2 linked regions of the Callithrix jacchus genome follow. The protein of the gene in region 1 interacts with the protein of each later gene in a biochemical or structural test. Links are inferred from orthologs where the notes say so. Each region holds a gene or a part of one and is shown on either strand. Other genes may lie near its edges.

Region 1 (3,825 bases):
GAATAGAAGCACTGACAACCAGAGGCAACAGCAATTAAATGAAGTGGTAACAAATTCATCTACTATTATCCAGGTAAGTATTATTTTTTGTAAGTTACCTCCTTCCTTTCCCCTTAGAGTGTGGTACATTACCAGTAATGATGTCACATGACTAACACTGTTTTTCAGAATCCAGTGGACACACACAAGGACTATAGTCTGTTACCACTGTTAGCAGCTGCCCCTCAAGTTGGAGAAAAGATTGCATTTAAGGTATATTTAAAAACAACAGTTGCAGCAAAAAAGGTTCATACCACTTCCAAATAAACTTACTTAGCAAATCAGGTTAAATGTATTTGTGAAAGCCCTTCCCGCTGGAACCCCAGTGTTACCATGGGTTCATGGTAGGGCTGCCAGAGGTGGGGGTGGATACCCCAACATTGCACGATGGAGGAGCTGTGGGAATGTGAGAGTATAAGATGGCTTATGGCCGTGTGCGGTGGCTCACGCCTGTAATCCCAGCACTTTGGGAGGCCGAGGTGGGCGGATCATGAAGTCAAGATATGGAGAGCATCCTGGCCAACATGGTGAAACCCTGTCTCTACTAAAAATACAAAAATTAGCTGGTGGCAGGTGTCTGTAATCCCAGCTACTCAGGAGGCTGAGGCAGGAGAATCGCTTGTACCCAAGAGGCGGAAGTTGCAGTGAGCCGAGATTGCTCCACTGTGCTCCAGCCTGGTGACAGAGCAAGATTCTGACTCAAAAAAAAAAAAAAAAAAAAAAAAAAAAAGAGGGCTTATGTATTTGTGGGCTTTTTCTTTTTTAGCTTTTGGAACTAACATCCAGTTACTCTCCTGATGTCTCTGACTACAAGGTAAGGATGTTTATTTAAAAGCAAGTTGTCAGTATATTAATAAAACTAAAGTCATATTTAGTACTACTTGTATGGATAATACAGATTTAGTTTTTACTAAATAATGCCAGAAAGTAGAATATGAAAACATTATAACAAAATGTTAACTTTTTAATAGTATCACTGTGGAGTCTCCCAGTGTTGTTTTCCTGGTACTTGGAAAGAATATAGTAGGAGAATGGTGTGATTAATTTTTACTTTTTATAAAAATATTAATTTTTTGTTTTAAATAGAGATGGGATCTCGCTGTGTTGTCCAGGTTGGTCTCAAACTCCTGGGCTCAAATGATCCCTCCCATCTCAGCTTCCCAAAGTGCTGGGATTATGGGCGTGAGCCACCATGCCCAGCCAGTTAATTTTTTTAGTTACTTTTTTCTAATTAGTTTTAGAGACACAAACTTACTTGGGTATTCATTCCTTCATGATTCTAAACTTTAAAAGAAAATAAATAGTTCTCAGCAAGAAGCTTGATTATTTTCATCATGGGAATCTATTTGACATATTTGTGAATTCTGGTTATTATGATCTAGTATGATTTCTTTTGCATTATCAGTTAACCACAGAGAGTTCATAAATATTACCCATGGAATTTACTTACTTCATATCTGTATGAGTCTTTACGTTGGCATGTGAGGCTTTTCATGGTTCAGTAAAAGCTTAGTCAGTGAGGTCACAGAATTATATGTTTCTCTCCTTTTTCACCCACAAAAATTTTGTTGAAAATCTTGTTAAAATGCGTACTTTCTTTTTTTGTTGTACTATACGGCATGTAAGACGGTTTTTAAGGTAATAATTGGTAGTGTTAATATAGGAACAAAGATAAAACACAAGGGAATTTGATTTAATCTGGATTGATGCCTTGGAAGACTTTTAACATCTTTGTAAAACCTTTCCTCAAAAGCAGGCTAGAAGAATCGGTTAATGAAGGGATCTGGTAGGTTAGCTCTAGGTCGTTGGTGTTCTGATTTTTATCTTCTTAGGCCCTCACTATCTCATGGATGAGGTGATCATATAATATATCACTTAAGTCAGGATACTTGTGAGTGAAAGGGAGTGCTATTAATAATTATGCTGGAAAGATATATACAGACCTGTCTTGAACACACTAGGGTGTCTTGTCACCCTACCACAGATTACTAATTTAATTGTGTGATATATGAGAAAATAGAAATTAATATTGTATTGATACATCCCACAACCTCTATAAATTGTCTAGATCATGCTGATTTTTAAAAATTGCATATTAACGACTAGATGCAGTGGCACACATCTGTAATCCTAGCACTTTGGAAGGCCAGGATGGGCAGATCACTTGAGGTCAGGAGTTCAAGACCAGCCTGGCTAAAATGACAAAACCCCATCTCTACTAAAAATACAAAAATTAGGCTGGTTTGGTGGCATGCACCTGTAGCTCTAGCTACTCGGGAGATTAAGGCAGAAGAATTGCTTGAACCCAGTAGGTGGAAGTTGCAGTGAGCTGAAGATCATGCCACTACACTCCAGCCTGGGTAAAAGAACAGGACTCTTAAAAATATATATATATTGCATATTAAATTGGTATTAGTCATCATAGTCATCATAGTTATTAACATTGAAAGGCGATTTGCCAACTTTAGTTCCCATAATTTGTTGAAGATTTTTGAAATTGCTGTCAAAATTATTTTAAGAATAAAAATTGGTCCTACTTTTTTGCTTTGACCTTAAACACAGTTATCCGGCTTGATCATTTGCTTTATTCATAAGCCTGTCTCTAAAAGTTAAATTAGTTAAATTCTGTCCTCAAAAATGTAGTCTCCCAAGCCCCTGACTCCCTGTTGAGTCTGGTTTTAAAAAAAGCATTGTTGACTGTGCTCCAAAATTCTACGTAGAAGCAGGAGGAACTAGTTGGTTGACTTTGGTCTGTACCCCTAGAGGCTACCATGTGTCTCCTCATTGCCCACATGCATGGGCAGTGTCTCCTCTTGATGCATTAGAAAATCAGCTTCCACACCTGAAGAAAGGGAATTGGGATCTTATCAGTGATTAAGTGCTTTCTAGTTTCTCTTGGAGGGATTATGATCTGTTTTAGAAGGGTACTAAAGGCTGGGCATGGTGGCTCACACCTGTAATCCAAGCACTTTGGAGGCCAAGGCAGGCGGATCACCTGAGGTCGGGAGTTCAAGACCAGCCTGACCAGCATGGTGAAACCCCATCTTTATTAAAAAAAAAAGGTACTAAAAACATCGGGAACCAAGGCAGCACCATTAGGGTTTATCTAGTCTCTCCTGATGAATGCTTTGATGGTCAGTTGACTGCGATAGTCACTTGTTTTTTGTTTTTTGTTGTTTTTTTTTTTGAGATGGAGTTTTGCTCTTGTTAACCAGGCTGGTGTGCAATGGCGTGATCTTGGCTCACCGCAACCTATGCCTCCTGGGTTCAAGCAATCTCCTGCCTCAGCCTCCTGAGTAGCTGGGACTACAGGCGTGTGCCACCATGCCCAGCTAATTTTTGTGTTTTCAGTAGAGACGGGGTTTCACCATGTTGACCAGGATGGCCTTGATCTCTTGACCTTGTGATCCACCCGCCTCCCAGAGTGCTGGGATTATAGGCGTGAGCCACTGCGTCTAGTCACTTGACTATATCGTCCTGGCGTGATTTTTCCTCCTTTTCCTTTATTCAGTCACTTTTGGTTCCTTAGTGTAATCTTTACTTTCATCGAGTTATTTAAGTTAGTGTCTGCCATTTATGATTTAATATCTATTTTGCCTCTAAGGATGTTTCTGTATATTCATGTAGAGTGTTTATCAGTCCACCTGTTTTTATTTTCTCTATATGTGGATTTATTTTTAAACTTTAAAATTGAGATAAAATTCACATAACATAAAAATCAACATTTTAACCATTTTAAAGTCTACAATTCAGTGGTTTTTAGTATATTCACAATGTTTTACATGT
Region 2 (3,825 bases), on another chromosome or scaffold:
TGTTTGTTGCAGTGATCATCGCTGTGATTATTATGATTGGTTTCATTTGTTGGTCTGTTACTTTTGTCAGTGGTAGTATTTTGCTTGGGAATGATGGTCTCTCTTAAAGTTGCCCACACTGTCATATCACATTTTACCATATCCATTCTTAACACCTGTTTTATGATGAAGTTCAGAACGAGTTAAACAGGTCTTTGTGTGACTCCCGTGAGGTGACCAGGGACTAAGTGGGTCAAAGACTGAGTCTGTAAGCTGACTGACGAGGGCACTGCTGGAAAGAACTTCCCTGGTGTGGATCAGAAGTGCCTTAGAGTGTGGTGACCAACCAGAACACAGTCTGAGTCTTGAGTCACCATTTACTAGTGACTTTACCCACTCCATTTCTTCTATAAAATGAGGTTGCTAGAAATGTCTCCTTTAAAAAGATAGCATTAATCATATGTCAGGCATTGATTTACTCTTTAGGTTGAAGCTCTTAAAAAGAATCATTATAGGTTTTACAGAAGTAAATAAATAGAAAGCAGATTATTCTTCCAGCCCCCTCCCTTGCCAGACAGCCTTCGTTTTTCTTGTAACTCACTGGAATTAATATGTATGTATGGCTTGGAACAATGTTAGCTGCTATCATTATTAAATTATACTGATATATATATATATGTGTATATATATATATATATTTTAAACTTGGGTGTTTTATCCAAGTCTCCAGAAAAGTATACATCAAAGGTTTTACTTTAAAATAGTTACTTAGAAATAACTTTCATTTTATTACTCAACGGCAGAGGTATCTTTCCAGAAGAATGTGGTAATGGTTCTATGAAATTTGTGGAATCGTGTTTTTCAGTTGATGTTTATAATTTAGGTATGGTGAAGAGATTAAGGGCTTAATTAGAATGGTGGTGGGGTGATTTGTGAATAAAAACAAAGACCTACATAGTAGAATTTATTAATAGACCCATGTGGAATTAAGCAATTGTGTTTTAGCCCTCTTTCAGACTGTTACAGAGGTTGTGTTTTTGTTACCTGTGTATTACAAGTTAAGTATCTCTTACCTGAAATGTTGGCACCAGAAATATATTAGATTTGGGATTTCGTCAGGATTTTGTAGTATTTGCATTAATACCTACTGGTTGAGTATTCCAAATCTGAAAATGGGAAATCCGAAACGCTCCAGTGAGCATTTCCTTTGAGCATCGTGTTGGCACTAAAAAATTTTATAATTTTAGAGCATTTCTGACTTCAGATTTTCAGATTTGGGATGCTCAACCTATATTATAATTATTATACACATCACCTATTTAGTAAAAGCCAACATGTATATGTGCCCTGGTCTCATCTCTCAACCTTTCAAAATCTGTTATACAAAGGAAACCAGGAACTCAAAGTTGCCATTTTCACCTTTATTATCTTACAAGCCAGCGTACTAGAAAATCTTACATGAATGAATGTATTTTGCCGCTGACTAACTTTATAACTTTGGACAAGTCACTTCACCTCCAAAGACCTCAGTTATTTTATTTATTAAAGGATGTTTAGAAAAGATGATTTTCTAATTTCCTTCCAGTTCAAAAATGAATAGAGTTCTAAGTTTTTTTTTGTTCAGAATCTTGTCTTTTAATGTTAGTTTAACTCTTCCCTCCCTGTTGAACTTGTCACATTGCTATCATAGAAGCCTACAACATATAAATGGGGGTTTTGTATCCTCCTGACCTTTATTTAAGTATATGTAGTGCAGTGGTTAAAAGCATGATTTGTCACATACTAGAGGACAAATTACTTACAGTTTTCTTCTGCTGTAAAATGGGGCTGATAGGAGTGATCTGCCTTCTTATAGATGTGAGGTTTAAATGGCCTAATGACCTTTTAAGTACTTACAGTAGCGCTGTGCTCATAACAGGTGTTCAGTAAATGCTAGGTGTTATGGTGTTGATGATGTATAGCCTTCCTCATTGGAAGATGTCCTGATACATTCTGAGTGTGGTTTTGGTTTTTATTGATTTACTGAATGATTTAAGCAGACAAGTTAGAATCTGGAAAACTGTTGAAGATAAAAGTGATCTTCAGAGCAGAAGCTGAGCAGTGTTACTGCAAATAGGTGATGCTTTTCTGTAGATACTAAAATACAATATATGATCATTGAATCTGAGTTTTGGGTGCTGGAAGTGCCCTTAGAAAGGGCGAGTCCCTGTTTTCTCATTTTACTTCTGTGGAAATTGAGGCCCAGGGAAGTAATGTGACTTGGCCGAGGTGACATAACTGCTTTATGGCAAACCAGTTATCTTCACATTTTCCCAGGATTTTCATTTTTCCCCAGATCTAGGCTATTGAATGTTTAATGTGCAGTCCTTTTACACCATTTAAACAATTTTACTGAATCTAGCTCTTGTTAAAGCATCTCACGAGAATCTTGGTTTTTAGCAGAATGTTGTTACCTTAAAAATAGAGAGAAACAGTCACAGGAAGGAAGCTGATATCCAGAAACATTAATTAATTTTAACTATGAGAAAAATCATGGCTGTCATGTTTATTCAGCTTATTTTATTTTTACTGTGAATAAAACTTTTGGGTTCTCTGTGTGAACATTATCTTAAATTGAATAATACTCTCCTGTAATTAGCTGAGACCAGGAAGAGGCCCTCCAGGTAAAAAGCAGGACCTGAAAGCACTCTGAACTCTTGAGATTTCTAGTTGGGAGAAATTGTTGCAAATGTTTGTATTTCTTTTTTAAAAAACACTTCCTTACTAAACATTGTCTTGAAAAAAATTTCTTTGAGAGTACTCATTGCAAAGTTGGTTTTCTCGATTTGTATTTTGTTCATTGGCTTTTCATATTTGTCTTCAGTTACAGGTTTATGATAATGGATCGCTTTGGGAGTGACCTTCAGAAAATATATGAAGCGAATGCCAAAAGGTTTTCTCGGAAAACTGTCTTGCAGCTAAGCTTAAGAATTGTATGTGAGCTACGTTTTTCTTATTTTTTAAAAAATTGTTTTTAATACAGTAAAGGCTAGTTTATGTTGAAGCTTGGTCCTCTGCTGGTTGGTGTTAGGTACTGCATTAACTTATTCTGTGTGATACTTTATAGCTAGATATTCTGGAATATATTCACGAGCATGAGTATGTGCATGGAGATATCAAGGCCTCAAATCTTCTTCTGAGCTACAGGAATCCTGACCAGGTAGTTTTATAACTTTAATTTCTACTATTTAAAACATGTTGTTTGAAAATAAATATGGTTGCTTTGAACTTTTGAACCTATGTAGAAGTTTTACTTTTTGAAGTAGATGTGGTAATAATATTTCTTCTTGACACTTTGATCTAGTTAACATTCTACATTTTTGATGTGATTTGTTGGCACTTTATCAAGTTGGCTATTTTGCCCTAAATAATATTCAGAAGAAGTGCTTGTGGTACAAAATGAATTTCAAATAGCTATTTGGGGGTGGAAGCTTAAAATTATATAGTACACCAATGAATTATGTTTGCCTGTCTGCTTTGTCACTTTTTTTTATTCCTTTGTTCAAGAAATCCATCAAATGTAAGTGTTCTATTACTTGGAAAATTTGGTCTTTAACATGTTGATTATTCAAATCAATTGGTTTACAGAAATATCTTAGCTGTCTAAATTTGTATACCCTTAGTGTTTGGAATTCAAATGTGCATTTTTTTTAGCTTTTACATTCCCTTTGTAATTTTTACTTTCTAAGGAAAGGAGAAAAGCTTATAATAATATACCTTTATTTAGGTCAGTTTAGTTGGAATAGAGGGATCTATACAATTTTCCTGTATAGCTGTTTCTGTGATTTCAGTGAAATTAAGGTTTAG

The links.
Region 2: of the proteins of COIL (region 1) and VRK1, one has a biochemical effect on the other in vitro, tested with the Homo sapiens proteins (2 studies listed by BioGRID and IntAct, with this or other methods). The link is inferred for Callithrix jacchus from reciprocal best matches to the Homo sapiens genes COIL and VRK1.

The regions. Positions count from the first base shown.
Region 1 is NC_133506.1:109,392,259-109,396,083, forward strand, and holds part of COIL (coilin), read left to right. Parts: coding exon 1-73; intron 74-168; coding exon 169-252; intron 253-805; coding exon 806-853; intron 854-3,825. UniProt on the Homo sapiens protein: Component of nuclear coiled bodies, also known as Cajal bodies or CBs, which are involved in the modification and assembly of nucleoplasmic snRNPs.
Region 2 is NC_133509.1:131,687,837-131,691,661, forward strand, and holds part of VRK1 (serine/threonine-protein kinase VRK1), read left to right. Parts: intron 1-2,842; coding exon 2,843-2,951; intron 2,952-3,085; coding exon 3,086-3,178; intron 3,179-3,825. UniProt on the Homo sapiens protein: Serine/threonine kinase involved in the regulation of key cellular processes including the cell cycle, nuclear condensation, transcription regulation, and DNA damage response.